Linked DNA regions of Alligator mississippiensis. The protein of the gene in region 3 purifies or fractionates together with the protein of the main gene of each other region. This does not show direct contact. Links are inferred from orthologs where the notes say so. Each region holds a gene or a part of one and is shown on either strand. Other genes may lie near its edges.

The links.
Region 1: the proteins of BCL7A (region 3) and DPF2 purify together in Homo sapiens (affinity purification with mass spectrometry; 3 studies listed by BioGRID and IntAct, counting the BioPlex papers as one, with this or other methods). This does not show direct contact. The link is inferred for Alligator mississippiensis from reciprocal best matches to the Homo sapiens genes BCL7A and DPF2.
Region 2: the proteins of BCL7A (region 3) and SMARCD1 purify together in Homo sapiens (affinity purification with mass spectrometry; 5 studies listed by BioGRID and IntAct, counting the BioPlex papers as one, with this or other methods). This does not show direct contact. The link is inferred for Alligator mississippiensis from reciprocal best matches to the Homo sapiens genes BCL7A and SMARCD1.
Region 4: the proteins of BCL7A (region 3) and SMARCD2 purify together in Homo sapiens (affinity purification with mass spectrometry; 5 studies listed by BioGRID and IntAct, counting the BioPlex papers as one, with this or other methods). This does not show direct contact. The link is inferred for Alligator mississippiensis from reciprocal best matches to the Homo sapiens genes BCL7A and SMARCD2.

Annotation. Positions count from the first base shown.
Region 1 is NC_081838.1:4,098,366-4,106,558, reverse strand, and holds the start of DPF2 (zinc finger protein ubi-d4), read right to left. Parts: upstream 3,088-8,193; 5' UTR 2,981-3,087; coding exon 2,949-2,980; intron 1-2,948. UniProt on the Homo sapiens protein: Plays an active role in transcriptional regulation by binding modified histones H3 and H4. Is a negative regulator of myeloid differentiation of hematopoietic progenitor cells. Might also have a role in the development and maturation of lymphoid cells.
Region 2 is NC_081838.1:5,931,822-5,939,249, reverse strand, and holds the start of SMARCD1 (SWI/SNF-related matrix-associated actin-dependent regulator of chromatin subfamily D member 1), read right to left. Parts: upstream 3,216-7,428; 5' UTR 3,208-3,215; coding exon 3,040-3,207; intron 2,958-3,039; coding exon 2,770-2,957; intron 1,739-2,769; coding exon 1,696-1,738; intron 1,616-1,695; coding exon 1,493-1,615; intron 1,310-1,492; coding exon 1,187-1,309; intron 762-1,186; coding exon 645-761; intron 1-644. UniProt on the Homo sapiens protein: Involved in transcriptional activation and repression of select genes by chromatin remodeling (alteration of DNA-nucleosome topology).
Region 3 is NC_081833.1:2,844,338-2,851,685, reverse strand, and holds the start of BCL7A (B-cell CLL/lymphoma 7 protein family member A), read right to left. Parts: upstream 3,316-7,348; 5' UTR 3,211-3,315; coding exon 3,119-3,210; intron 1-3,118. Other genes in the region: CFAP251 (cilia- and flagella-associated protein 251), read right to left, coding at 5,206-5,360, 6,308-6,409.
Region 4 is NC_081827.1:170,136,453-170,144,517, forward strand, and holds the start of SMARCD2 (SWI/SNF-related matrix-associated actin-dependent regulator of chromatin subfamily D member 2), read right to left. Parts: upstream 3,109-8,065; 5' UTR 3,043-3,108; coding exon 2,878-3,042; intron 1-2,877. UniProt on the Homo sapiens protein: Involved in transcriptional activation and repression of select genes by chromatin remodeling (alteration of DNA-nucleosome topology).

The DNA.
Region 1 (8,193 bases), on a different chromosome or scaffold from region 3:
GTATACAACTAAGTATAGTATCTCTTTCCAGCACCCCCTTTTAAAAATTATCTTATCTTGTAATATTTCCCTTGCCAAACACTTTGAGAAAGCATACAGAGGAACATATTCTGCCTTCAATTATACACAGTGCGGCTCCACAGATTTTAACAGAATCACCCACTGGTCGGCTTGAGGGCAAGATCTGACTCCTGCTCCACAAAAAATGTTTCCTTAAAAGGTTTTACAAATACTGCTTGAGACACAGCAGGGGTCATGAATTAAGAACCACAGTGAGACAAGACAGGAGGTCTGGTTTCCAGTGTCATAATTTCCCCATCCTCCCCCCTGCCCCCTAAAAATACTCTCCCATCTTCCTTTGTCCATTTGGATATGAAGATTTTCAAAGCTGGGACTGCATTGCATCTGAGGACAATTTTACATAGCGGCCTGTTTCCAATCTTAGCTAACACCACAAGCAGAAGTTATCTAGCTGGCACTAACCAGAGAAATTACGCTCAAAACCCCATTTTATGGATGGCTTCAGCTAATACAATTACTTCCACCCCCATTGGCAAGAATCTCAGAAAAGAGTTTTGTGCTGGAAGTTATTACAATTAATTGTGGGGAAAGGAAATGGACAGGATACTTGGGTGGTGGTGGTGAGGGGGGACAAGGAATGGAAAGAGCGCCCCGTGAAACCCCTTTATAAAATTCCTGCCTGTTTTTCAATGACAGCAAGAGAGTCGCAATTTTTCCAGCGATGGAAACAAAGCGAGGCAAACTCGTGCCTTGACATAAAGGCTTCCTGAAAGGTTTGCACAGAGATAACGTGCCTTGGGACCGTTAAAACACACTAAGCCACAATCAGGAGACCAATGCTGTCTTTTTAAGACTGGGCGGCAGCTCCTCAGCATTTCAGCTATCCTCACCGCAAAGAGACATTCACAACTTTCTGCTCCAAAAAGCAAACAGCCACCCTTTTCATGAAAAATAAATACATTCCACCCTCATGTGACCAAGTGGATAATGCAATACTTTCTATTTCACTGGCTTTTTGAGCATCCTGACAACCCAGCAATGTACAAAAGGTTAGTCACTGATTGGGGGGGGTAGATATACTCTTGCTGGGGGATGCTGCAGTATAGATTTGGGGCCAGAGCGCATACTGTAGGGCAGCGACTGCCCACTGCAGAACCCAAGGACCCTTAGGATCTTTAATGCATTTTATCTTCACAAACCTCCTGTGAAGGAAGAGAGAGGTTTGAGATAACCGAGTCCAAGCTCCAGTCTCTATCCAGGCTGGGACTGCAGAATGGTTTTTCCCCCCTGTGGACTACAAGTTCCATGAGCCCAGTTTGCAGACTGGGACTGTGCTACAAACCCTCAGGCTGAGACTGGGGCCTGTCATGACAGGCACTGTTTAACCCTGCGAGGCACTGCCCAGTCCCCCAGTGAAAACCAGCCGCTGCCCGGAGTAACTCACTGTATAGACAAGACAGGTAAGTATCATTAGCCCCGTACCACAGCTGGGCATCTCGGCCTTAGGGGAGCACATACAGCGCCTAGCGCAGCCTTGTCCCAAGGCATTTTTTTTTTTTTTTTTAAGAATTCCTGCTGTTTGGTGCACTGTAAGGGGAAGAAACTCTCTTTTCACAAGAGAAAGCAGAAGCTTGGCTGAAAAGGATGAATTCTAGCAGAAGCACGGCCATCGATTAACCTCCAGGAGTTACCCCCGTGTCCCAAGTACTGCTCCCAGTGCGGATTCAGCCAGACTTTCCATGTTACAGGCATCCTTAGGACGCACTGGAGAAAGGACAAAGCTGGAGACGTTATGAAGGGAGGGGACTGAGCTTGGGTCCCATGCATCCCTGCCCCTCCCCATCCAATCCCACACCCCTATGCCATCCTAACCCACCCCGTCCCCAAACACTCATCAGTTCCAACCTGCGCATCTTCAGGGCAGATTCTGGCTGATTCACCATGATTTTGCAAGCCCAGATTGTGAGAACAGCACTGGAGCTCCCCCCCACCCCTTCACAGCAGGGTGATCTCTTCCTCCCTCGTCCCCCATGCCGCGGGGCCCCTTTCCCCCCCTTGGGGTCCTTGTCTTTCCTTCCACCCCAAGGATCCCTGCGGAGCTGCCCCCAGGGACCAGGGATGTTCTTCCCTATCCACCCAAAGGAACTTGATGGGAGGGGGCTTCACCCCTCTCCCTCCATAAGGCCCCCTATGCAGGGGGCTCAAAACCTTCCCCTCTCAGCTTCCTGCCCCCACTCAGGGACCTTGGGGAGAGGATCTGACACCCCCCCACCAACTCCAAGGGCCCAGCAGGAGAGAAGCTTCCCCCCTCTCCACCCCTAAGACCCCCACAAAGACCCTCTGGGGGGCTCCCCTTCCCCCTGCTCCCCCACAGAGTCCCTCCTGCCTCCCCGCCACCCAAGACCCCCTATGGGGGGGCCTCTTCCCCTCTAGAGACCCCCTCCCCCACGTCCCCTCCTAACCTCCACCCAAAACACCCCCTCCCCCACGTCCCCTCCTACCCCCCCACACCCCGTCCTAACCCCCCACCCCAAAAACCCCCTAAGAAGTGCCCCCCAGCCCCATCCCCACCTCCCCCAGAGGCCCCCCTTCCCTACAGGGCCCCTACTGCCCCCCACAACTCCACGGGGGTCCCATCCCCCCTCCACGGGCGCTACCAAGTAAGCCTGGGGGGGAAAGAGCCCCCCGTTCCCACGCATTGCCGGGCTGGGGGGGGGCAGGTCCTCCCCCCAAACTAGAACCCGGGCTGCGAAACTTTGCGCCGAACAATGAAAGCCCCGGAGAGGGAGCGCGGCTCCGTCCCTCCCCTTTCCGGCGACTTGGTCTCGCCCGGGGGTCCCCCCGTTCCATTTGCGCGGCTGAGGCCCGGGCTGCACCACTGCCCCCACCGGGGGGGGTGAAAGGAGGTGGGGGGCGAAACCACTCACAGCTTCACGACGTTCTGTACCACCGCCGCCATCTTGCCTCTGCCGCCTGGGCCGTGGGCCGCCCCGCGCGCATGCGCCGAGAGCAGCAAGGCAGCGAGGAACGGGGAGAAACCATCCTCCTATTGCGCACGCGCAGAGGCCTCCTCCCGTCCCACTCTTGATTAATAAGTACGCGTGCGCCAACTGAGAATCAGGCGCCCCCTCTACTCTAGTGCTGGGTCATCATGGCGCATGCGCCGAGGCTCACCCGCCTCTGCCTGGCCCTCGGCAATGCACATGCCCAGAGCGCGCGCGCTCGCCCTCGATGGTGTGGTACTGCGCATGCGCAACCCGTTGGGCGGGGTTGGGGCTGTTCTGGGGCGCATGCGCGAGAGGGAATGGGGTTAAAAAGGCGGGAAAAAGGGTGTGAGGGAGGGAAGGATAGAGACGTGATTGAGGGGAAGGGGGAAAATGGGGGGAATGACAAGAGCATTTAAAAAGAATGGAGGGAATGAGAGAAAATGGAGGGATGAGGGGGAAGACTGGAAAGATGGAGGGAGGAGGATAGACTGGAAGGAGAAGCACCGAGACTAGGTGGGAAGGATGATGCGTGATGGGGGGGGGGGTAGGCAGATAGTTGAAAGGAGGGACTGATCCCAACGGGACTCCCAACAGCCCAGTCCCTTTTGCCATGCAGGTCACTGGTGTGAGACAGGCCGATTGCTGCTGCCACGGGACCAGCAGTCCTCCATAAAGGGACAGAGCGGGCTGAGGGCATGAAGGGTCCAGAAAGCTGCCCTTGCGACACCTGCCCTGGACGTGCAGAGGATTGGTGCCGGGGTCTCTACTGGAAGGCAGGTGGTTACATGTTGCTTCATGCAAGGCAAACAAGGTAAGAATGCTGAAATGAATGGCGTTTTGGATGGCATGTGCACGCCAAGGGATAACTAATAGGAAAAAGCTTGTTGGGCTTTGACTCGAGGAGCAGCAGTAAAGGGAGTCTTGGGCAAACAGAAGAGACGGCGCGTTAACACTGGTATAATTCGTCTACACCGACAAAAAATCATACAGCGATCCACAGTGGACAGACAAGCAGTTGCCTTGGGCTTCCTGCAACAATAGGCAACTATTATGCTGCCTTTCCACCGGGTAGTAAGAGAACATGCAGTAGTCATGAACAAATGGGTAATCCAGGAAAAGCATGGACACGCACCAAGCTACACTGGTGTCTCTTTCCTGCTGCTTTTCCCCAAACCCCGGTAAGCACGCTGGCACAAAGGCTTACACTGCGTCTCTTCCTTGTTCACCCCAGCATAAAAGCAGTTTACGCTGATGTAAGTGTGTTGGATCCAGACCCAGAGGTAAGTTGTGTCCTCAAGAAATGAGACTCTTGTTCTCCTCAACAGCGCGTGCATAGATTGAGTGCTCTGCCCTCCAGTCCATTGCATGGGTTACGAATGCAGGACTGCTGTCCCCCCGGGAGGCCGGAGGGACAGCCCACACCCTAACAGAGTCATGGAAAAATATATTCGGAGCTGTTGACTCGCCTGCGTTTGGACAGTGATAAATTATTCAGGTTTGACGCTGGGAAAGTTTTGCTCCTGTATTTGGAAGGTAAGCAGCCGCAGGCTGGTCCTCAAAGCAGCAGAACAGAAAAAGAAGGTAGTGGGGAAGGGAAATAAATGGGAAAATACTAAAATGTGAGTATTTAAGGACAAAACACATGGTTAAGTAGATGAGGTTCTGGCCTAGACTTTAATGGCATGGTTCAATTTCTAGCTTAGTGATACATTCCTTGGGTGAGCTGCTTAGGGCTGCTCTACTTGGAGTGTGAACTTAAACCACGCCGTCTGCCATGTTTGCTCACATACAACCCAGCCTAGAATAAAATTCACATCTTGTTTTTTGAAAGGCAGGCTAAAGAACAAAACCAAACGTTTCTTGTAGTAAGTAACTCGGTAGCAGCAGCAAAAGAGCTGAACCTGCTCTCTCTTCTGTTGCCTGTAAGTAGTATGCACATCTGACTTTCACTTTTGCCTGGTAAGGCAGAAACTCTTCTTACCTTATTTCTTGTATATAAATTGCACTGAAATTTCCAACATCTCTTTTGGAGGCATGGTGCATGTTGTATGTGAGGAAAATATGGTATTCCTCATTAACTCTTGCAGACTAAGACTGAGGAGGTATAATCTATTTTCAAAGTGAAGTAAGCAGCCCCTGCAGAGTCTCACTGAATGCACATTAAGAGCATCTACATGTGGGGCTAGTGCGGAGTAGCTAGTGCACCATACATTCACACCCATCTTACTGCATAGTAACGTCCCAGGCTTGTAATACCCATCTCTAAACATGTTGGGTAAATCATTCCCAATCTCCAAGGGGTGGGTGTTGGAAGGATAACAACCTATGAATGCTTCTGATGTGCTCAACTGCTGTGGGCCCAAGGGTCATAATTGGATCTTGAACAGAGTAAGTAACTACACGGGCAGCTTTGGGCCAAAGTTCTCACTCTCTATGGGGTAACATTTCTGTGAGTGAAAGTATATTGCCTTATTGCGAGCATGTTTTCTGCAGCACAGCTGCACCCGGCCTCATTGTGACACTTCCTTGGCTTGCTCACTAGGAAAGATGAGAACAACCACATATTTGCCCTGCCTTTTTTTTTTTTTTTCCCTTAAATTCCATTACTGATCGTAGGTTCCTTCCCTCACCCCTGCCCTTCCAATACACAATTTAGCTCTTTGTTTCAACTTTCCCCTTCCCAGCTCCCCAGTAATTAATTTTGCAGTTGGAGTCTAATGGAAGGGTCTCTGCAATGCCATTTCAGCTTGCGATCGGAAGGGGGTGCCATGGCCAACCCCTGTGCTGTTCCTGTGTCGGAGGTGCGAGTTTGGCGGGACAGCCTTTCTCTGCTTTCTCATTGCCAGCCAGGATGGCTAAAGTGAAGTTGTTGAATTTGCTTTATTTTCCCGAAACGGATTGGCTGCTCTTTCATTTTTCCACAGTGGGGTTAAGAAGGCATATGAAAGCACCAGGCTCAGGAAGTGCAGAAACTATTTGGCCTTGAGCTATTTGGCTAAGTCATCCCTTTTCCCCAGGCAGCCACACTGCAAGTAGTTCCTTGTTCCCAGGCAGCTCTGCTTCACACCCACTAGATTGCCACATGGTACAAATGGCTTTGGGAACTTCAGCCAATGGTGATAAGCAGTGGGGTAGTTGTTCTAGCGCAAACCTCCAGGCTAAGTACAGACAATCAAAAAGCCCAAGGCTGAATCAATTCAATCTCCACGGATTAGTCTAAACTGTGTAAATTGAACCGATTAACAAGTGAACAGACATTCACTTTTGATTCCAGAAATGCAGCCATGTGCCTGCAGTGGCCCAAGCCAGAAGCTGGGTGGGGGTGAGGGGCGCCAGAGCACGCCTCCCTGGTCTGCTGGAGCAGATGGCTTGAATCTGGAGGGGATCTGGGACAGAAGTTCAATAAACCGAATTAAATTAGTTAAGTCTGATACTATATCCATCCAGGTTTATCTTATACTGGTTTCAGCCATTTTGAAAGTGGTTTATGGGCACTGAACTTCTGTTGTGTTACAGATTTGAACCGGTTTCCAATTGCTTATACCAGTTTGTGTAATTTCTGTCCCTAGCCCCAGGGTAGACAGACTAAATCACTGTAAGCACAGTGTGCACCTCTGCACTTTCCACAGCTGGATTTAACAACACTGGTGTATATATAGTAGCTTGCCTGCCAAAAGTAATGTTTTGCAGTAGGAGCAGGGGCAAATATCCAGCGCAGAAGAGGCCTGTGACTTCCACGCTGCAGAAACCTGGGCAGGGATGTCTGCACCCCTCATTGTCCTGCCTGAATGGAACGCTGTTTCCTTTACGAACAAAGTCAGAAGCACAATACTTGCATTCAGTGCCACACTTCATCTGCTTTGAATGCCCAGCTGACAAAATGCATTTCCCCATTTCTTTCTTTCCTCCATCTGCATGCTCCCTGCAATTTTTTTTTTCTTTTTTTTTCTACGTGGCCTCTTGGCATCTCTGTTTTTACTCCCCCTCGCTAAGAATTTGTCTTCCAGCCAGCTAGCTTGCCTCCTACGTATGAAGTTACATGGTGAGTCAATACCACAGTCATGATTGGAACCCTGGAGGTCCCTCCATGTTGCAACCATTATAACACCCTTCATCCAAGAGTCGGGAAGATACATTTGTCAGCTTCGCTAACCAAGGCATCCTCATTAGAAGTGGAATTGAAAAGAATCTGCAGTCCCCCCCTCATTGAGTCCAGGAGCCCCAGATCTGGCTCTCGCTGTAGCCTATGGCTCAGGCTTCTAGAGCTGGGAATATACCCTTGACAAAAATCCTCACATTCAGTTGCTTTGCTCTAAAACTCTTTAAAAAAATATATGGGAAAGATGAAATCATCTTTCCCATCACAGACTGAGTCATGATATGAATGCAACTCAATTAATACCTTTCCTGGCTGAATGACTCATGCTTCTTAAAACTAATGTAAAAAAGCAACGTGTGCAGGTTTGGAACAATCATTTGCATAGCTTTCTGCTTTGAGAAGCGAGGAAACAAAGCTAGTTAAAAACAAAACAGAACAATAAAGAACTGAACTGGTCAAAATGATCGATTCAGAGAGCAGAAGGAATTTGTCATTCTGCAGAAAGCAAGGGGCTAGGAAATTCCAGAAGCGGAGCAGATGTATTTAGTGGTTTTTGCTGGCTTTGTCAGGGAGGAATAAAGCAATACTTATTGCGACATTTTGAACGGGCAGGGAGCCAAGAAGAAAAATCAGGATAAGACTGAGCACTTAAAGAAAAAAAAAATTAAACGATAGCTTGGTTAAGTTTACTCTGAGTACAGCTTCCATCTGAGACCCTGTCAGCTTGACAAGAAGAGGAATTGCTAAGCAATCAGAGGGAAGAGCAGGCCAAAACTCAAGAGGCAGGAGTTTAGTGAACGTGACTCGTGTTGTGCTATTCTACATTGCTTTGTGATTGTGCAGGTTTTTGATCTGTAGACAGTTACGGATCTTGTTAAAGCTGATGAGTGACTGCCCTTCTTTCAGGCTAAAGCCTCGTTATGACAGGTGAAAATAATAGAAGTCACTGTTCAAAACACTGGGCCCTGTAGCGAGGCTGGATCAGATGGGTAGGACCTGAGGAGGTTAGAAGGGTTAAGACTGGAAATACAAGGGTCTAGATTAGGAATTGGCTTGGCAGGGCCAGCAGAGAGCAAGCAGAAGTCA
Region 2 (7,428 bases), on a different chromosome or scaffold from region 3:
GACCAAGACCCTCAGTGGTGACAGCAGGGCAGGACATACTCTGCTGCCTTCCCCGAGTTATCAGCCTTACTCCGAGTACGGAGAAATGGAGGACAGGCACTTATGCTGTGTTATGCAACAGCTACTCGTATGGACAACAGACTTCATCCACTGCCTGCACTGTTACAGATCTGAGGCGGCTGAGCCAGGTGGCTAGAACTGAGAACACACGTACACGACTGCCACGCAAGTGCTCCATGATCCCGCAGCATCATGCTTTGTAGTTCGGCACTTCTCACGCTCCAGAGGCACACTGATATTCTAGTAATGATTTGTAGTTCAAAGAGGAGCTACCTTTCATCTCAAGATTTAAAGAGATTCATAAACTATGAAAGCTGCAGACCTAAAAAATTCATTCTCTTCTGCAACAGGCACCAGCCCCCACTCAAGATTTAACTCGGCATCCTTCCCATTTCACAAATGTTAACAACATGTCCCAAACTCGCAACAAACCGGCAGCACAGTTAGGATCAACCTCTCGAGTTCCTGGCCCACCCCTTTGTGCCAGCCCCTAGACAAAACCACATCTCCCAGGAACAAGACACGCACCTCCCCACTGCCAACACTGCAGCCCTCCCTCAGGGACAGTAAGAAGGACAGCTCACCTCCACCAAGTGATTGTCTGGGCCATACAGGTCTTTATCCAGCTCGATGACCAGAGACTTAAAGAAGGATGAAAACTTCCTTTTCTGTTTGGTGGCATCATATTTGGACAGAGCTGACTGCAGCAGCACAGAAGAGGAAGAGTGTCATGGCTGCCCACCCCAGCCATTGAGCATACATAACAGGGCTGATGAAGATGATGACCTGAAGCCCACAGAACACTTGCCTCTTTACTGTGTGTTTTATCCCTTTCCCCATAAATCTGCCTTAGAAACATCCCTATCCACAGGCTGGAGAACCAGGCACGGCTCTCTTACCCTTACCCTCCCCCAACAGATTTCTGTTTCATTCTTACTGAACACCAAGGAGGCCCCTAGTTACAGCCTCAGCCTCTAAAGAGCTGGTCTGCCCTTGCAAGTCCAAACCTTTTAAATCACAACCCACTAGCAAGGGACTCCCATCTTATGCCCACTCAACCCACATTATCCGAACACTGATGCACCTCCCTTGGCCTCCCAAAAGGAGCTGCAGCTCTCGCACTCACATCCTCTAGCAGACGTCCTTCCACCCTGAGCTCCCACGAGGCAACAGTCCCCTCACCATCCTCTGCATCCGACTTGGCCGGATTGAAAGTGTTGGAAATGAAGATGCGAAGCTTTCGTTTTTGCTAAGAAAGTATCAGCAAAACATTAATGGCAAAACCCTAAACGCTAAATGCCAATAACCCCGTCCATGCCATGCCCGCAGCCAAGACGCTTTCCCTCTGCCTTTCACCTCCCCAGCACGCTGCCATGTAAACTAATCCCACGTCTGGGCAAGACAAAGGGCGTAAGCCGCTCTCCTCCTCTACCTTAATGGGTCGTTTCAAGGCCTCCTGGATATCCAACCGTTTCCTCATGATCGTCTGGTCCAGTTTCCTTTCAAATGCCAGCAGATCCATGTAGGCCTGAGATTCGGGTACCAGCTCACGAATCTGCAGCAAAGCACAAGCCAGTCAAACACGCCGCTCAAACCGCTGAGAGCTTGGAGACTGCGCGCACGCGCCACACTCACCCTCTGAGGTAGAATTTTGTCAGCCATTTTCTTCTTCTTAGCGCTGCGTAAAAAAAGACACATGCATTAGGGTGGCAACCCCTTTGCCCCTCAGACCGGAAGGGGCTTTACCCTCAGACCTACAACTGTGTTGCGAGATGCTCTGGGTCATCCTTGGCCCTGGCCTCTCCAGTGCAGCTGTTATACTGTCAGCCCACGCATACGGCGCCTAGCCACAGCGGGGCTGGCACTCGGCTCCGGCACAGCAAGCTCTGCAGCACTGAGACCCCCCGGGTCTCTGAACATCTCCGGTCTCCCAGGGGAACCAGGGCTGCACTGAGCTGGGGGCAGTATTTTACTTTGGTACAAAGCGACTCCGCACTCTTGATTTAACATCGATTGATAGATTTTGCAGTCAATCCTTTTCTCAACCGACGGATAACGTTGGGCTGCCACCGCTCACCAAGGCACAATGACTGCTATGAAGTTAAAAAAGAAAAAAGCCCAACCAACCCAGAGCTGCCCTTGCTGTACCATCTGCGTACCGTTATTTCTACCTAATTCGGGGGCGGGCAAAATACGGCCCGCAGGTCCCCTAAAAAAAAAAAAAATGTACAAAATGAATATGAATCTGCTCCTGGCTGCCTGTCAAAGATGACAGGAACCAGGAGCAGTAGGACCCAGGGGAAGCCACCGGCAGAACGGCACAGCCGCAGCAGCAAGTCCCACCCACCCCGAGCCCCAACGGGAAGGGGCTTCTGCCCTCGAGCTGCTCCTGCCTCCCCGCGCCCCGGGTAACACAGATGAGGAGGAAAGGGGGGGCGGAGAGAGAAAGGGGAGGACCGCAGGCATCGCCCCAGTCCTCAGGGGCTCCTGGTGGCAAAGCTCAAGGGTGAGGACTTCTGGTCCTAAGGTGTCAACCAGGGACGGGGCAGCGACAGCTTGCCAAAACTCGAAGCGCGGCCGGCCCGCCGCCCGAAATCACCGCCCGCCGCCACCCAGCGACCCCACCCCCACCCCCGAGACCGCAGCCTAGGCAGGCGAGCGCGGCTCCCGCTCGCGGACACGGCTCCGGGCGGGCGCGGGGGCCCTTACTTGTGGTTGCGGTTCTGCACGGCCTGCTGCTGCACCTGCTGGATCTGCTGCGGCGCCGGGCGCTTGCGCGACTGGTCCAGGCCGGCCTGGGCCATGCCGGGCCGCACCGCGGGGCTCCCGCCGTAGCCGGGCGGGCCCATGGCCGGGCCCTGCGGTGCCAGGCGGCTGCCCGGCAGCAGGCCCGGGCGCTGCGGAGACAAACACACGGGCCGGTCGGTGGCGGGCCCACGCGCGGCCCGGCCCCCCCGGCCTCCCCTCCCCCCCCCATACCGGGTAGGCGGCCCCCGGCAGCGGGGAGCGGTAAAGGCCCTGGCCCGGCGCCGGCCCCATGCGCACGGGGGGCCCCGGCGCGCCCGGCCCCAGCGCCCCGGCCCCCGCGGCCGCCCCGCCGCCGCCGCCGCTCGGAGCCACGGCCTGGAAGCCCGCCCGCGCCGCCATCTTGTGCCGCACAAAGGGGGCGGCGGGAGGGGCGCCGCGCCGGAAGCGGAAGCGGACCATAGAGCGCGGCGCCGAGGCGGGGCTAGAGCGCCCCGGGGGCGGCGGCGCGCGCCCTCTGGCGGGGCGGGGCGGGGCGCTTAGGCAGGTCTTCGCGGTGGCGGAAGGAGCAATGGGTGCACGCGGTGGAGGTGGCACTAGGCCGGCAGACAGCTGGGCTCAGGTGACTGTCCAGGCTCCTCTGGGAAACCTCCAGGGTAGGGGACTGCACACCTCCGGAGGGAGTTTATTCGGGACACCCGGGCTGTGAAGGAGTTTTCCCTGCTATTAAGCCTGAAGCGGCCTTGCAGGAGTTTGCACCCATTGGTCCTGGTCTTCGCGGGGGTTGTTCCCCGAGCTCCCGCTGCACTCCTCTGAGATAGCAGTAAGCCGCTATCAAGTCGCCTCCCCGCCGTCTCTTGAGACCGAAGTCCCTCCGCCTCTCCGCCTCTGGCTTGCCTTGCAAGTCCCTCATCGTAGGGGCGCCTCTTCTCTGGACCCGCTGGAGTTTTTCCGCACCCTTATTGCAGCGCGGCGCCGCACCGTGACAGCGACCGCGGGCTGCAGGGCCACGGCCGGTGGCAGCGACTGGCCCCCCCACAGCAGCCCGGGCAGGAAGCTGGGGCGTCTGTGCCGCGCCCTGCCCGTGCGCTGGCCCAGCCCGCAGGCCCTTGCCCCTTGCCCGGCGCGGGTCCCTCTTGCCTCACAACCCAGGTCCCAGCTCCGTGCCGAAATGCTGACATGAGGTGGAGGCTGGTGGGAGTGAGCTGTATCCTTCGTGCCGCCAGGGACCGTGCGCAAAGGCGCGGCGCGCCCTTGATGGCAGCACTTGCCGACGGCTTGCGTGCCGCGGCCGCGCCGGTCCTCAGATCGCTGCGGTAGCCCCAGGAGCGGGTGCGATCCGCTCCTCTCATTGCTATGCTATGCCTGCACTTGGGGTTTGCTTCACGGCTGGCTCCAGTTCATTTAGGTCTGTCAACTCCTTTCAGAGGATGTTGCTTCTACCATTCCTCTCCTAGACAAAAACCGCCTCTTCCTGGCCAGCCTAGCCCCAGCCCGGCCCAACAGAAGTGGGTCACAAGCATAATTTATATGCACTGCTCTTTGTTCCAGAGAAACACTCGGCTGAAAAGGCTTTTGGGCAGAGCTCTTGTTTATGTCCCAGTCTGCACAGTACACTTGGTCCTGCATGCACAAGGGCTACTAAGTCAGACAAGTGAGACAGGCTCTTCCTTCAGTGTCAGGTTCTTGCCCCAAACCGACCCCGGTAAAAGGCTAGCGGGCTCACGCTAACAATGGGAAAAGTGTGTTTCCTACACGCTTGAAAACAGACTCTGCTTTTGCTCAAACCTCCCCAATCGCTGACTCGCCGCCAGAGGACAAAGCCAGTAAATAGTTGAAAAGATGTCCCTTGGACTGGAAGTGCTTCCAGCAGCCCCTCCTTTGGGACCCCCTGATCTAAGTGAGCTGTTACAAAAGCACGCCTGGAGTCTCTGGGCCTCTCACAATCTAAGCGTGCACTTAGGGCAGGGCCGGAGCTTGTTCTCGCATCACGGCCCCGCTCCACGGCCGGCTGAGAAGCCCACCTCAGCCCTGCAGGGAGCCCAGCCTGTGTGCAGTGCCTACCCGCCCCTGGGAGATTGATTCCTGCAGCCCAGCAAGAGAGAAGAAGGCTGTCTTCATGATTTATACCATCCTTTATATCATTGCTAAGAGTAGCAGGTTTGATGTACAATGCATCTGTCATCTTATTGTGCTTCCTATGAAAATGTGTGTACATAGTACAGATACCAGAGATAATTCAACACTTTATACACTTGAAGGCATTCAGAGATCGGTAACAGAAAATGGCACAATATCAAGGCCTAAATGCTACTGGATGGGTATCTACACTGATATGGCGCATATAGAGGTATATATATATATATATGTACATATATATATATAGTAATATATATTATATATAAGAAATATAAAATGAGGATGATTATAATAAAAACAGACAAACAAATAAAAAAATTGTATGCCTCAACAGGTGAGCATCGAGGTCAAATCCAAGCCCCATCTTTAAAAGCTTTAGAGAAAGAGAGAGAGAGGGAGAGAGAGAGAGAGAACAAAACCAAAAAATAAAATGAAAAGCAACAAAACTGCAAGAAAGATCCATAAGAAAATTTATGGACGTGGCCGACCCATTTGTCTTCAGGTGACTGCAGGATACAAAGGACTGACCCCCCCAATTCCTAATTTTGGTCAGGACATGGAAATAACAACAATAAAAGTAAAAGAAAGATTAAAAAAATAATAATCATCATTAAAAAAAAGACTTATTGCAAAAGCTCTTAAAGATAAGTAGCACTTTAGCCCGGCAGGGCCGTTGCTGAACATGGGGCAGAGCTCGACAGGGCTGGAGCCCAGTGTCGGGGGCGACGGGAAGGCTTTTTCATTGACCGTGGAACAAAACAATTGAGGTTTCCTGGGCCGGCAACCCCTGCTGCAGCGGTATTTGTGACAAACAGCTGCAGCCCAGCAGCCTGCGGTGGGTCTGGAAGGAGCGGTGGTCCATGGAGGGGGCCTGGCTCCCTGAGCACAACCCCCTCTGAGGGCAGCCGGCCAGCAGAGGCCCCAGGGGACCCAGACCCAGGACAGCTGCTGGCCACTTCTGCACCAGACCGTGCCCAAGCCCTGTGTTTCCAGGAGCAGCTGTTGCCTGGGGGAGCCTGGCTGCAGGGACAGGGCAGGTGTCCACCCCCTCCCCAAAGCAAAGAGCCCTGTACCTCAACACCCCCCTCCTGCGGTAAGACTACTTGGCGTGGGGAGGGCGGCTGAGGCCCGGGCTGGGGTGTGCGCGTAGCGCCTGCCCTGCTCAAAGCTGCTGCCCCGGGTGCTTGGCTCAGTCCAGGGTGCCAGCGCTCCTGGCTGCAGGCGCTCCCGGCTCCAGACTCGCTGTTCCAGGAGCGTGGTGGGCTTGTGCGTAGCCTGGCAGAAGGGGCGCAGAGCCCCGTACTCCCTGGGGGACGAGGATCTGGGCAGGCACCTGCCAGCATGTGGCTGCCCTGGGAAAGCTGAACCAGGGCCTTGTTGGGGGGGTCACACCTGTGTCCGGCTGCTCCACGGGCTGAGGGGCAGCCTGGGAGCAGCTGGGCTGAGAGGCCATGCTACTGGGCAGGCTCCCCCTGGACCACCACTGCCTGCGCGGTAACGGGCATCGCGGAGATGTGGTCAGGCCCCCACATCCCCTGCCCACCCAATGCACTCGCCCCTGTGCAGGGGGCTCGTCAGGCAGTGGAGAGGCCCCTTCCGCAGCGACTTCCCATCCACCTGGGGACTGCTTGAGGGCAGAGCGGCTCGAGGCCCCTCGGGTTCTTTGGAAAGCCCTCCTCCACCCCTGGGGCCAGCCACAGTGGAGGCTGGGAGGGGGCCTCAGCCCTCTACACCGTGGGGGCTGGGGACAGAGACCTCATAGGGCTGGGGCAGGGCAGCTCATGCAGAGGATGGCGATAGAAGGACTAGAGCGACACTAGCTCACGGAGGGAGCTGGCGTGACCTCGGCTCAGCTCGCAGCACCGTGCACGGGTGCACTGGAGGACAGCGGGCGCGCTGGGCACAGGGCAGAGCCCTTCCTATGGCAGCAGGCTCCCGAGGACCCTATACTCAGCGAGACACAGTGAGATGCGCTGGGGCTGACACAAGAGCGAGAGCGCTCTGGCTGTGCCCAAGAGGCAGCAGAGGCGCTCGGGGGTCAGCTCTCGCCACCCTCTTCCACCTGCCCCAGGGATGACAACCTGGAGCATCCTGCTGAAGCAGGGGGGACCCAGCCCAGCACCCACGGGGGCTGCCTCCTGGGTGGGAGCAAGGCCCTCTGCAGAGCTGGCTCAACTCGAGCAGAGGGACCAGGTTCCCTACACCCGACCTTGCCTCCCAGGGCTCCCCGTGGAAGCAGGATGGAAGGGAAAGCAGGCAGACAGATGGATGGATGGGGAAGGGGGAGGGCCTCCTCCCCCTGGTGCCTTCGCAGCCACAGAGCTGACTCTTCCTGGCTTCTGGGTTCCTTGCTCTCTTTAGTTAAAAACGAAGGGGGAGGCGAGGGCAGGAGCGGGGCAAGGCCTGGGCCCAGCCCGGCGTGCGGTAGCTCCCCGCAGGGCGCTGAGGAAGAGACGCCCCCAGCGTCGCGTCACGGTGTAGCTG
Region 3 (7,348 bases):
CATAAGGACACCTGATTTTCATCAAGGAAGAGATTTTTCATTCTCTTCCTGGTATCAAAAACCATCCGATGTTTAGCCCTTCTTCAATTAAAAGGTATAAGCATTATTAAAGAGAAGCAAGAATTCTTGTGGGTGATATCTTTGTCTATCCCAACTGTGCAGTTGGTCCAATAACTGGCAAACTTTCAGGGATCATGGTACCTTCTTCAGGCCTCTCAACATCACCTCAGTGCCACTAAAAATGACTGATTCCACCTCAAAATCTATGTATTTCTGTCAACTTTCTGAAAGCAACAAGTGATGCATTTTGGGGGGGTGGGGGGTAAGAAACAGACACACAACACTCAAACCCACTGAGATGCACTGACCTGGGATCATTCTTTGGGTAGGCTTAGTAGAAAACGATAAATATTTTTATCCAAAAAAAAAGGTTTATCCCTTTTAGCTATAGAGGGCCAGCACTTCCACCGCATACTCAAACAGAACAGATTTTAAGCACAAATACCTAGTCCGATGCACACCTAAGGTTTTTCTACAATAGAGTACCCTTGATGGAGTAGTTTAAAGCAACCTGGTCAAGTAACACTTGGCAGCACTACCTGCACAGATCAAAACCATTTAGTCAATGCCTTTATTAGGGGTGCACCGATACGTCAGTTGGCTATTGGATCGGCACCAATAAAAAGAGAAATGAGTTTCTTAGTTATTGGCTTTTTTAGCTTGTTGTAGCCAATAATTAAGGCTGCGTGCTCAGAGCATCCTGGTGAGCCCCATCGCCAGCCCGAGCCTACAGCAGACTACAGGTCCCCGTGAGCAGCGGGAGGGAGGCGCCAGGGAGCGGTTACAGGGTGCCACGCTCAGCAACAAAGGGATGGCTACCAGGTCCTGCTGCGGAGACAGACTACAGGCAGGCAGGGTGCACTTGCAAAAGTGGCTTCCCCCCATGACCGGGGGGCTCGGCTGCGTGGGACCCGCCAGCTGTGACACAGCAGCATGATCTGGGGCTCCAAACACGCCCGGCACCGCTGTCTGCACAAGGGCCTGCGCTACACCCCTGGGATGGCATCGCAGGCTCCGTGGGGAGCGGGTTGGAGCCATGGGCAAAGGGGTGATGTGCATGGGAATAAGGTGGTAACCGCCTTCCTCACCGGGGCCGGAGCAGGCAGGAGGCGTGTGTGCGCATGTGTTAGAAATGCAAAACAAACAAAAACAAGTTTTATGTCAGGAGGTTAAAACGCCTCACGCTATTACTAAATATTGGTTACCGGATCGGCATCAGCTAATACGGTTAAACATCAGCTTTTGGGTTAGGTGAAAATAGTTATCGGTGCACCCCTAGTCTTTATTCTTTATTACTGCTCGCAGTGTTTCAATAATGCCCAGAAGCTCCAATCAGATCAAGGCCTGTGCTTAAAGTGCTCGCCGTGCTAGCACTTTGCAAACGCATCTGAAGATATGTCCCTCTGCCAGCAAGTTGGCTACTTAAATGTACTCTTGTCAAAGGGACAAATCCTGTGCTGAGACAAGCGAGCCCCAAAAGGTACGCAGCAGCATCTGCGTGCACCTGTGTTCATGTGCAAGGCTACGGCACATCCTCCTTCACCAGCAAGAGCCACCGTCACTTCTGGAGAGTGCCGTGCCAAGGGGCCTGCGCCTGCAGTCAGGTTTAATACAGAAGTCCAGCACTCAAAGAAGACGGGGTCCACTATGCAACGCTCCCATCTTGATCCAAACTGGGATCGCAGCCTGTTCCCTGTTCTGCAAACGCAGGTTTGGCCCTCATGCGCGTGGCACACTGCATACGCACCTCTTCACAAACCGCGCTTGCTTACGAGCTATAAAGCACCAAACGCGTTTAACTCGCAAAATACTGGAAGTTCCCCAGTGTCTTCCCATCCTACTGGTCTGAGAGGAGAAGACAACAGAAACAATTAGAGACCCTAGGTTTGCTAAAAATTACGTCCGGCAAACTTTACCCTAAGTTTGCTAAAAATTACGTCCGGCAAACTTTACCCTGGGTTTGCTAAAAACGATTCCCGGCAAACTTTCAACAAATACGTTGCTACGTGGTACAAGTCAGCGCTTGTCAGACCCGTACGCCAACTGTGACAGGAGCCAGTTCTGAAATGAGCAAAACAGGAGCTTTCACTAATTCTCTCGGGTCACCCGTCAAAAACAAATCGTCACCGCAGGATTAAGTTGCATCAAGTCCACTTCGATCCTAAAAGCCACGAGCCTGCCCGGCAGATCTGAGCTGAACGGTTACGATGGCACAAAACAAAAAACACCACCGGCCGAAAATGAATAAATAAATACATACAAAAATGAATAAATAAATACATAAGATTAAAGAAAAAAAAAAGCCTTTTTGTTGACTAAGAAAGGATCAAACTTCTGTGGCGCTCGTGTCCGAGCCCCTGCCCAGCGCGCTCGGACAAGTACGGCGCTGCGAGGAAACATCCCGAAAATCAGCGGACAGAAAACCCAACCGCCCTTGCTAGGCCATAATTGATCGTCATAATTATGTAATTATCCGCCTGCCTATCAATAGATGGCATAGATAAATAGACAGACAGATGTGTAAGTGTACAGATAAGTGTGCGGTTGGATAGATAAACGATAGACGATAGACAGACAGACAGACGGACGGACGGATGGATGGATGAACGCAGAGTGAGATACGCGGACGTACAGACGGGCGGATGCAGACCGAGCTGGGTGTACGGGTACATCTAGAGTTAGGCAGATCCACGGCGGTGTCGGTGGGTGGACAGATGTGCGGACAGATGTGCGGAAGAGGGGCAGGTGTGCAGGCAGACAGCCGCCCCGGCCCCCGGGCCCCACACCCACCCACCCACCGCCCGCCCGTCGGGGCCGGCACACCGGCCGGGCCCCGCGCCCCGCGCCCCGCGGCCGGGCCGGGGCTGGGGCCGGGCCGCGTGCGGGCTCCGGGCGGGCCGAGGCGCAGACAAAGCCGGGCCGCGGGCGCACAATGGAGCGGCCGCCGGGGCCGCGCTGAGGCGGCGCAATGGCTGCCGGGCGGCTGAGGCCGGGCCGGGCCGGGCCGGGCCGGGCCGGGGTCTCGCGCGCCGGGGCCGGGCCGGCCGGGGCCGCTCACCATTTGCGCACTTTCTCGATGGCCGCCATGACCCGCTTGATGTCATCCTTGGCGCGGCTGCGGGTCTCGGCCCGCACCGACCGGCCCGACATGCTGCGGCTGCGGCCGACGACGAGGCGGCGGCGGCGGCGAGGGAGACTGCAGCGCTCGGCCCGGCCCGGCCCGGCTCGGCTCGGCTCGCGGCCCCGCACGCACAATGCCGCGCCCGCCGCCCGCCGGCTCCGCCCGCCCCGCCCCGCCCGCACCGCGCACCGCGCACGCGCCGGCCCAGCGCGGGATCCGCGGCCTGCCGCCGCCGCCGCCGCTGCTGGGGGGGGGGGTCCCGCTCGCGCCGCGCCGCGCCTCGCCTCGCCTCGCCTCAGGCACCCAGCCGGGCCTGGGCCTCGAGCCACAAAACACGGGCGCCCGCCACGCCTGAGGTGGCCCCTGCCCCCACCCTCACACCACAGAGCAGGGTCCGCGCTCGTCCCTGACCACCGTGCTTGCTGCCCCGGCGCGGGGCTGCCACTTGTGCCACGCCGAGGGCCGGCAGCGTGCGACCGGTGCTCAGCCAGAGACACACCTTGACACCGCCGAGACGGCGGACTCGCGGCGATTTAGAGCCACCGAGGACCTGACATGAGGCACGGAGAGAGACATTTATGCACGTGTATGTCGAGAGCGTCATTTATCCAGATAGGCATCGATACAGGAGGAGGTAGACGTCAATGCCATCGATGAAGGGGGGTAGACATCAATAAAGTGTGGGGTAGACATCAGTGGCATCCATGAAGGGGACAGGAGACATCAATGGCATCAGTTAAGAGGGGGGAAGGCATCAATGAGCGGGACAGGAGACAATGGCATCGATGAAGGGGATGGGAGACAATGGCATCAATGAAGTGTAGGGTAGACATCAATGGCATCGATGAAGGGGTAGACATCAATGGGATCGATAAACGGGGGAAACATCAATGGCGCTGATAAAGGGGACAGCAGACATCAATGGGATCAGTAAACGGGGGGAGACATCAATAAAGAGGGCTGGGGGGAGTCGTGCAAAGTGACACCTCTCTAGTATCACATCCCTGCACTATCGGACCCTTCGTTACACGGCGGCTGGAAAGCAAACGACACCCTTTATAGCCTGCTCTTTCTGCTCGATCCAACGCTAATCTCCATCCTACAAGCAGCGCGGCTGAAAGGAACACTTCACAAGGGTCTACATTATTATTCAAATTGATGCCGAGGATGATGTAAAGAAGGAAATGTGCTCAACAGCTCTTCACTGAATCTTTCTACAGCAACTTGCATCAGCTTCATTATGCTGTTTATACACACACACCGAGTAAGATGCTGTCCCATTGGTATTACACTGCTAATTAGAATTAACACTTCCAGAGAGAAAAACAAAGTCGAAGGAGCAAAAAAAGGAAACTCAATTTTTAATCGTCGTCCCTAAATAGAATGCGCTTCCTTCGACTGAGATTTGTTGGATCTGCCTCTAATTAACCATCCAGGCGTAGCGTATACTGCCCTTATCAATGCATATCATCAGATACTGTACTTATTAATTGCTATTTGACAGCCTGTTTTTTGTGAACAAACTTTAACGTGCTGAGACTGGAATACATTACCGCAGCTTCGCGCTGAGCCCTGATGTAAACCTGCTTTGACACCAGCATTACCAGGCACAGGAAGAACCCTCTTGGGAAGGAGGATTATTAATGGCATAAAGCAACTACACCAGTTCAGGTTTCCTTCTCCCTGAAACCGATGCATCTCTAACGGGCTTGGATGGTCTGGGAGCAGGACCGCAGCGTCACCGGCAATGGAAACTACGATGCTGGTGTTAGCCGCATGTTCATTTAACCCTTCCTGATTTTGCGTCTTTCAGGGCGTTTACTGGGTGTTTCCTACCCTGCGCACGGAGCAAGCCATGTCCTCTTGATCACCCACCCCAGCCGCAGTGCTGTTTGGCCAGTCTTTGGGAGTATTTCTAATCTCTTGATAACACCGATCTGATAGGATCCCCTGGAATTCCATACACCTGAAATTCTCTTTATTTCTTAAAAATAAATACAAGGAAACTACGAACGCCGTGGCAATTATACCTTTCCAGACCTTTCACTGCTAATGCGTTCATCTGTTTTTTCTAGTCTGTTTTTTTCTGGTTCAGGAATAGGTAAGCCAAGGATGTCAGCAGTGAATATCTCTGCTGTGATTTCCTCTGGAATTTCTTCTTCAATCAAACCTGCTGCACCTGGAAGGGAAAAAAAACAAACACCCCCCACAAAACAATCAAGTTTCCCGATCACTAACACTGGTAACCAGTAGTCTGGGGGTAAAGTGTCCACAAAGGTATACAAAAGAGGTCTTAAATAGCGTTAAGTGTTAAAGTGATACATCTCCTGCGAGGAGAAAAAAAGGGCCTGATCCTATGAGATGCAGCACATTCCCTACAGCCACTGAGGACTAGACACAGACTAAGTGATCTACAGCACTGTAGTCGGTCTCTTCCATTTCTGACCGTGCGAATCGTGACAAGGTTATTTTCATTCCTTGTCCGTGAATTCCTTTAAAATGATTCTAATGTCATTATTGATGTGCTCGATCTCGGATATACTTATTCAGATTTCAAAAAACTATTCAGTTGCTTTAAAGACTAAAGCGACTTCCTGTTTCAGGTAATGTAGGGGGAAAAGAACAGATTTAAGCTTTAATTCTTACAAAGGCGGCCTGGGATGTGCAGAATATACTGGTCTTTGGTTAGCAGAGTCTCATCTGCAAGCCCCACATCCAGAAAATTGTGCGACACTTAATGGATCTACCTCAGAATGAAACAGTGGTATTTCTACCCTACTCTGAATTTATTTTAATCAAGGCTGGGGCTTATGCCACTAAGCAGTTCCTTCTAAGAGCACCTTCAGCAGGCAGAGATCCTTTGCAGAAAACTCTCACTGGATGCTGTTTTAGACTGTTACACATTGGCACACTTGATTCATAGACTGGGCGTGAATATCCAATACCCATGGAAGTTAGGGCTACGCACCATCTTTGATTCATGCACTCTGACTGCGTTTGCAATCTCAGATGCACATTTTTGACAGCTGTTGGACTGAGGGTAATAGGGTTTGCAGGTTGCATTATTGTGTTAAAGGAGCTGAAGAAATTTAAACTTCTGTGCTTTGCAGAATATTAAGTGTTTACCTGTGGGGTCACAAGTACCTAGCTCAGATCTTCCTCCCTCAGGATTCATGCCCAGCAGGGTGGAAAGACACTCTGCCAGTTCCTCCTCTGTCATGTGCTCCCCTGCATACAGTAAAATGAAAACAGTCTCTTATTAAGATTTCAATATCTTTCATGCAAACCTAACCCACATCTGGAGCAAGAGTAGTGGGAAGCCAAAGTAACATGGTTTGAAAAAGTCATGGGGCTCCTTCAAGGTGCTGCCAGCACCACTCATACTGAATGATCCTCATGGAAGAAATTTAATCCTAGAGAAAATTGTTCTTGTGCACTATAAAACTGTCTCATATCTGGGGGGGGGGGGCTCTACTGGAACTGGTTTGTTGAGTCATTTTGCAATTTCCTTTTCAAAGGAAATCCCAGTAGTCCATGCAGTCCAGTACTCTATATGTGCCACAGCCTGTGCCACAGCCATTCACAGCAGGAGCAAGAAACTCATATGGAATGACCTGCACAGAACAATGTATTCCTAAGCCAACCCAGTTCACGCTCAGCTTCTGTCCTAAAGCACAAGTGTTTCTTTCTCTTACACAATGTTTTATCCTGCTTCGTATATCTACTTGTGGATGTTCTCACCATTCATATCAACATCTAGTTCTTGTCAACATCCTTCTGTAAAGAAGCCCTTCACCTCAATGAAGCCTTGTGACAATGGGCTTCACAGATTGATTTGTTGCTGAATAAACAATATTTCCTTGCGTGTTTTTAAGCTTGCTTCCTTTAAACTTAACTGAACATCCAACTTCTTCTTATAATAAAAAATGGAAGTAGAAGTACCTTACCGGTATTTACCTTCTCAAGGTTGGGATCATTCATAATGTTCAGTACCTTTGTTCAAGTCCCTTTCATTCATGTGATTTTTAAGCCAAACAGTACCGCTTTGTAGAGTTCATTCAAGGCCTCTAATTGCTTTCCTCACTCACCTCTGGATTCCCCTTCAATTCCTGCTACTGAGTTTTTGGAGAGTGTATCAATGTATAAAATGTCACTTTAATAGTTTTC
Region 4 (8,065 bases), on a different chromosome or scaffold from region 3:
TCCAGATTTTTTTTGTGATTGTTACAAACTAATAAGAAAGGCTAGAGGCTTGGGAATAGAGATGAGCCAGGGCAGCTAGCTGGAGAGCCTGCTGAATTATCACTCTCCTCCATTTCAAGCCTTGCCTGGTAGAGAAGGCTGCAAGCAATGCTTCGGCTTGTTCAAAGCTAATCCTGCCAGCATGCAGGAGTCTGGCAACCTGACTAGCTTTGCAGGGGAGGGGGAAGGAGAAAGTAAGAGCATCAATTAAAACATTTATACTCCTCATACTGCAAGTGCTAGACAACAGAGGACTGCTTCACTGGTTCTCCAGCAGCTCTGCTTTGGCCAGTTCCACTCCCAGGGCCAACAGTGAGGCTGTATTCAAGGTCTAAGTGGGAACCTCCTCTCCTTTTCCATTCCCAGTCAACCCGCTCTCTGGTAAATGTCACAATGGCAAAACACACATATAACTATTGACTTGGGAGCTGCTATAAAAGGGACAAGAAGAGAGGAAATGGAAAATGTTAAGTAGAACACACCACCTTTGCTTAGAGTGTGATCTGTGCTCAATTATCTCCCGAGTGGGTTTGTTTTCGCCCAAACAGAAGGCAAGTCCCGTGACCTCCAAGTGAATCTTGCCGCTGTGCTGATAGGGAGCCGTGCACAACAGTTCCTGTTGGGTGTATACGGCAGATCCAGGCAATCACTGTGGGCTGCTGACACTGACACAACATGTGTGCATTAACATTCAACTACTAACAGCACTTCCCTGGACTTCAAGCAATAAAAGCAATGGAGAACAATGAAAAGATGGCTAATGCAAAGGGTGAACTGGAAACAGACTTCAACAGTATCTGGACTTTTTTTTTTTTTTTTTTTTTAATTTCCTGATCACATTCAAGAAGATTTCTATTGAATGAAATTCTTGACTGATGCCCCAGATCCCATAACACCATGAGCAGAGTTGCCATCTTGAGGAAATATTGGAGGCCCAACTCTGGAGGGAAATGGAGTCAGTGTCGCATTCCCAGATCTGCAAACAGTACACTATCCAACCTTAGCCAAGCAATGGAGACAAGCCCATTCAAGCAGTCACCACCTGCGAATGCCTCCATTTCCTGGTCTGCCACTGGAAATGCCAACACTGGATTTGCAAAGTACTAAGAAGAAAGTCAGTGAGAGCTGCAACTGCCCAGGTTCCCTGGTAATCAGGTTCCAGGTTTTGAGCTGGGCATGCAAAATGACTGACACTGGAACACGTAAATCTTAATGGTGCACTGGGTAGCTCATCTGTACAGTGGGAACAATTCTCACCTTGGCAGTACAGAAGTGCTTTGAGATCCTTAGAAGACATCGTGACAACCCTAGCATTCTGGTTAAATTCCCTCACTTTGGCGGGCTGAATTCAAGCACATTCCCACATACACACACCCCCTTGAACCCAGTGAAAGCAACTACCCTGCCTCTGCTGAGGAGCTTTATCAGCTCCAGACACATAACGCAGTCTCCAGCGCCAGGAGGACCTTTAGAAACTCCAGCTTCTAAGGAAGCCACTAAGCTTCTGCTGTTACTTTTCAAGTTGAAGTTACCGTCTCCAGTTCATCCACTCCAAAACGGAGATCCCTTCTCAAGCTGACACCTCCTGCAAGGAAACACCCCACCCACACATCCCCGGAGACATTTAAAAAGGATCTCAGCCAAATTCAGAAAGAAGGTGAGCGCAAGTCCTCAGACACAGGAATCCTTGAGAGAGCGGGGGCACTCCGCTGGGAGTCCCCTGGCACGCTCTCTGAGGACAGCACAGACAAATCTCTTCCAGTGTCAGGGCTGCAACAACAGTTTTAACAAGCAGGAATAATTTCTGGTAATAGGGATGATAGCCTCCACTCCTAAGGGATCTCCGCCCACAAGCTTCTGGGCTTGAGAGCAGAGTTATAGATAAGTCTTGCTGCCATGGGCTTGCTTCTCTACTTCTGCCAGATGATTGCGTGTGGAAGGACAGAAGCTGGATGAGGCGACCTGGAATTAAGCTGCCATAACAGAGGCCCACCTGGTCCATGTTAGCGCTGAGTTACAAAGCCTGCTCTACTTTCAGTTAGCCCCTGGCTACTTCTGGATGAACAGGCAGGAAAGTATGTTTATGAGCTGCTTTTTCCATCTGGAACAAGGCGTGCAACACATTTTTTGGAGGAAGACTCTGTTGCCAGATCCAGGCCTTTGTCACTTAAATTAGAACAACATGCTGCGTGCAAAGCAACCTACTGATCAAGCTGGCACCTGCGCTTTTTTAAGCCAAGCATCGTGGCAGCACACACGCATAGCGTCACACCTGGGCTTTTGGAGTGGCACTGGCTCAGCTTTCCGATACGTTTTAGGGTGCAGCAGCTGAACAGGAGCCCTCCCGCCAGCCGCGCCCCAACCTGCAGCGCTGCAGCGTTGCGCCTAGCTCAGGGCACAAAGGCATCAGGCCCCAGGACTTAGCAGTGTCAAAACCCACGAAGGCTCCTGCTTGGAGACCGCGCAGGTCATCGAACCAGCCTATCAACTACCCACCACCCGGCTGACAGCAGCTCCCCGCGACCGCAAGAGCGAGTCCCCGAGCGAGCGGCAGCCCATCTCGCTCAAGAGCGCTGCCGCCATGGGGCTGCTCGCGGGCACCCGCTCCCCACATGCGTGGTCTTCCTGCGTCTCCCCAGGGTGCCGGGGGCAGGGCGCAGGCCGGGCGGCTGACATGTGGCGGGGCGGGCAGGCGCGGGGGTCCTGACAGAGGGGCCTGAGCCAAGCCGGGGCGGGGGCGAGGGGGGCCATAGCTGTTGCGGGGCTTCACCAAGTGCCCGCCAGGGGGCGGGCGCGCACCCCCGCCCCGCGCACCCGCCACGCCAGACGCGCACTGACCTGGTACTGGGCGGCGGGGCCCAGGGAGCGGTAGCCGGGGGTGGCGGGCGCGGGGGCCGGGCTGGGCCCCCGCAGGAGGCCGGGCCCGGGGCCGGGCGGGGGGGCCGCGGCGCCGCCGGGGGGCAGGGGGCTGAGCGGGAAGGCGCCGCGACCGGACATCGCCATGGCCCGGCCCCGCCCCGCTGCTAGTGCTCGGCGCGGCTCCCCGCGAGCGGCGGCGGCGGCGGCGGCGCCCAGGGCCAGACACCGCGCGGCGACAGGCCCCGCCCCCACGGGGACCACGCCCCCGGCCTGCCCCGGGAGCCCCGCCCCTCGACCTGCGCGTCAGCGAGCCCCGCCCCCAGGCGCCCGGCCCCGCCCCCGCCTGTGTCGTCACAGCCCGGCGAGCTCCTCCCCGCAGTCTTGGCCCGCTCCTGTGCGGACTCGTTCGCTTCCCTCCCTGCCTCCCGCCTGCGCCCAGCCCCGCCGTGTTCAGCCCGCGGCTTCGCCTTCTCGAGTCTGGACGTTTCCTCCGTGTTGGCGCCCGGTGTTTGCAGTCTTGCTTCTCGACCTCTGGTGGGCTGAGGTCCCGGACTTGAGAATCGGGCGGGGAGGGCGCTGGCCCGTAGCCCCCGGGGCGCCGAGTCCAGGCGGTGGGGCGGGGAGGACGCCCGCCAGGGCCCCGGGGTGGGCGGCCGGGAGGAGGATGGCGGCAGGCTGCCACCATGCCTGGGGGTGAGGAGAGGGACTGAGTTCTGCCTGCTCCGGCCATGCGGTTTCGGGAGGATTGCGTTCTGCCCAGTCCAGGTGACTCGGAACGGGTCCGGGGTATTTGACCTGGAACACGAAATGTAGTATTAAAAAAAAAAAAATTCCCTCCCAACTGCCTGGTAACTTTAGCAGGGCCGCGTTCCTCGCCCTACTTCGCTCCCGTCCCTGAGCAGAGTATCACTGGGCAGTGTCCACTAGCTCCTTGGGCGCTTTTGAGGGTCTGTGGGTGCTGTCCGGCGTCCTGGGCCTGGCCCACGCCCCTGAAGGATGACAAATAGGCCTGGTAACTTGACCCTGTTCGGAGGCGGTTCAAACTTCCCGTGCCGGCCAATGGAGCTTGGCGCCTGCAGGGAGATGTTGGGCCGTGTTGATGTTCATCCTAAGTCCCTCCAGGGCTGTCACTAGTTGTGACTGTCGCACTTTTGTTCCTGTGGCTATCGGTGTTTCATCCAGTGGCTGTGCTGTGGAGAGGAAGCTTTTCTGTGATTTTACCACAATGTGGCCGTATAAGAGGAGCATCTTGTCTTCTGCCTCCTACGTTGTTTGCTCAGTCACCTCAAGCAAAGCAATTCTATCCACTGGAGAGAACCATCCATCAGCAACCAGCTAGGACTGGCAGTCACGAGGCTGCACCACACAGACCTGTCCTCTTCTTCCTTGCTCTTGCCGCCCCCACTCTCCTCAGTGACCACAGGAAGAACACCCAGCATCTCTGAGCCTGACCAAGTAACTAAAGCCTCACCAAACACCATTGCTTTCCAGCACTCCTGTGTTCCCAGTGTCGATCTGAATATCTTTATTACTACTATTATTTAAATATATATAATTATATTTGATTATATAGAATGGGATATAGCTATGCCCCATTCTATCCAGAAAGTTTAATACACTTATCTTCCCAAAACCCCTGTGAGGGAGACTCAGACACTTGTTCCCAGTGTGCAGAAAGGGAACGGAGGGACAGGAAGGCTAGGCAACTTGCTTGGGGTCACACAGGCAATCTGTGGCAGACCAGGAACTGGAATCCAGGCCCCCTGAGTACTAGGTTAGTGGCCTAACTACAGTGTCATTGTACCTTTAAAAATATCACAAAAAGAGATGTGAGGGGCTAGACATCTCCCTTTAGACATCTCCCTTAGACTAGACATTAGGAAGAACTTCACAGTTAGAGTGGCCAAAGTCTGGAATGGGCTCCCAAGGGAGGTGGCGCTCTCCCCTACCCTGGGGGTCTTCAAGAGGAGGTTAGATAGGCATCTAGCTGGGGTCATCTAAACCCAGCACTCTTTCCTGCCTATGCAGGGGGTCAGACTCAATCTATTAAGGTCCCTTCCGACCCTAACATCTATGAATCTTTTAAAAATGTCCAGAGGAACAAAGGCTCCATGCTACCTTCCTCACCCCCCACCTCAGGAGACTTTCCAAAGGAAAGCAAAAAGGTGGGAGCAATTGAGGGAATGAGGTCTGCTTTGTTTTCTTCTCCAAGCCCATTCAGGAGCCAAGTCATGCTACCAGTCTCCTCCATGTTCCTGGAGAGTTTGCAGGTTTGGGTGGAAGTCATGGAATCACCGAGACTCCAGGTTCATTTGAGTTGGCATTTCTGAGGGCTCCACACACAGACTTTGCATCCAAGATCTGTAGTCTCTGAAGGCTGATGGTCCATCCCTGCCCCCAACTCTTCAGCACACAGGGCAAATTCACAGTGCTACTAAGCCAATTAGTTTGTATGTTGTGAGAGAAGAGGAGCTGGCTTGCAATCAATGGATGCCCTGAACTGTGGGGCTGTATTGCCCACACTAGTCATTAGAACCATGTGCTGCTCTCTCATCTCTTTTGGTACTCACTACAGCAGCCTGTGGGTCCCTACTGCCACAGCAAGGATGGAAGATAAGAGTCCAGGAGATGCTGAATTAGACCCTTGCTTGAGACGAGGGTAGATGGCCGGCGTGGCCAACTTGCAGCACATGTACTGCAAGCAGCACAGGTAGCCTCTGTACATGGTACACAGCAGATCAGGGAAAAGGCAGGCAGCGCAACAACAGACTGCAGAAAACAGAGCAGCAGTTCAGGCAGGGAGCACAAGGTGGGCAGCAGAAAGCAGAGCAGCAGATCAGAAAGATGGAGGGAAGCAGAGTGGTACTTGGGGAGGGTGTCAGGGTAACTTGTAGCACACCTGTCAAAAAGGTTGACCCCCACTGGAGCAACCTAAGCCAGTGCCACCCCATGTCTCCCCTAGGACATGGGTCCTGTTCACCTCTTTGTCCTACTACAGGCCAGCCTGGTTGCTTCAGCTTCCGCAGGGACTCATGCAGGGATGGGTGTTGTTGTTATCATTCATATTAGACTTATTAACTGTTCATTACTAGCATTATCATTATTAAAATTAGCATCTAAGTCTCACATGTATTTTAACTGCCTTATGGCTATTAATTCATGCTCCTTGTGGCCCTCATTAGAATAAGAGCAGCGAGTGAAGATGATAACAACAATCACTATAATTGTTTGTTATTGCCACTGTTGATTACTTCACTGTGCAGTGCTTCTTGCCAGTCACACCCCCTGAGGCACCCTGGCAGCAGCAGAACACAGGGGAGCTACGCAGTTCCCAACCCTCTGCTACTTACAGCTACCACCTGCTCTGTTGCTTCTGCTTTTCACGCTGCCTCACCCTTCTAGATCCACCTACACCTCCACGCCCCTGGAGGTGCCCCACGGGGTAAGGAATATCCACCCATACTCAGTCAGCATCCTCCCTATTTGGTTTCTCCTGCTCCTCTTGCCTCGTGACAGTGAATGAAGCCCTTCACCACCCAGCTGTGTGTCTGGGCTGAGAAGCAAAAAAGCCTGCCTGTCTACCTCTGAGAGGAGGGCAAGTGTCCAGCATAAACACAATAGATCATTACTGCTATGCAAGGTGTCTTGTGTGTGTCAGTTCACTGAGGTTTGAGGGAATGAGCTAAGATGGTGTCGCAGCTGTGGTCACCCTTCACAGCCAGGGAATGGAAGTATTGTTAGTATTTGTATTGTGGGACTGCCTGCAGGCCCCTGGTCAGAACTGGGCCCTCTTTGAATGAGGCATCCCTGAATGAAATGCATAAAATGACAATCCCTGCGCTGATGCATAGGCAGCAGGAAATAGGGCTCTTAGCATCTTCCATTTGTAAAACTGCTTGTTTCCTGAGCCTGAGCCTGGAAAGTGGCCAGTGTCTAATAACGGGACTGGATGAGAGTTACAGTGTCAGTATAAGCAGCCCCCTGTTCATTCCTCACTGCACAGATTCCTATAAGCCCTCTACATAAGATCTGCCATTTACTGGGTAAACCATAGGTCCATCTTGCCCAGTATTGTGTGTCAGACAGTGGCCAAGAGTAGACAGTGAAAGGGAGAGTGAACTGGGGATGACCAGGGTTTTTTGCCACTTCTCTCACTTGCAGTCCCCAGCATTTAAGGTCTAGGCAGTTGATTCAGAGGCTGTACCCCTAACTTCTGTGCTCAATAGCTACTGATGCATATTTCCTCCAAGAATTTGTCCCACCCCTTTCTTGAATCAGGCTAAACTGACAGCTTCTACAACATCTGATGGCAATGAGTTCCACAATGCAATTACAAAGAAAACAAAGAGAAACTCTGACCTTTCAGAGGCCTCATTCAGTGGCTTTAGGGAATCCCAAGCCTTCCACCCCCATCTATCAGGCATCTACATCTACGGTTGAATTTGTAACTTGAACCAATTGCACGCCTGGACTGGGAATGGGGGCTCCCCCTTATAACGATTACACTGTTAGGTTTAGTAAGAGAAGGGAAGAAATGGTAGAGAGGGAAATAAATACTTTTTTAAAAATGTATTTATTTATTTGTGAATTTGGTTAAATTCTCATGACATTTTAACCGCTGGATCAGTGGCACTGGAGATCCAGAGAAGGGGAAGGAATATTGTGCCACCGGGTTGTGCCCTGCAGGAAGTCACCCTGTCCCAGTGGGTGTGCTCTGTAGAAGACATCAGCTGTTCAGCACTCCCTGAACAAACAGCATCCCAGAAATTCATGGACCTGCTGCCAGTCTGGGACACGGAGCCCCATTGGGCTCACATCAGCAAGGGGTGCAAGCAACAGCTGCGTTAGTTTCCTACAACCAGCACTCACCTCCTTACCCTCCGAGATGTGGCCTGCAAGGAGCCCCACAGTCCAGATCTGACCTGGGACCAGGATGAGTTTGGCACCCCTGAGATCACTGAAGTTATTCAGACAAGTAAAATGGCAGCATTTTGTGAGGAATTATACAGGTTAACACATGATACATAATGAAGAAGCATACCACATTTAACACTACCTATATTAAATGGGTTTGGTTAAACAATACCAGCAGTGACAAGTTACTGTGTCAAACCTGGGGAATGATATGACACTGTATTAAATAAAGTTTAAAAGGGTTTAGGATACC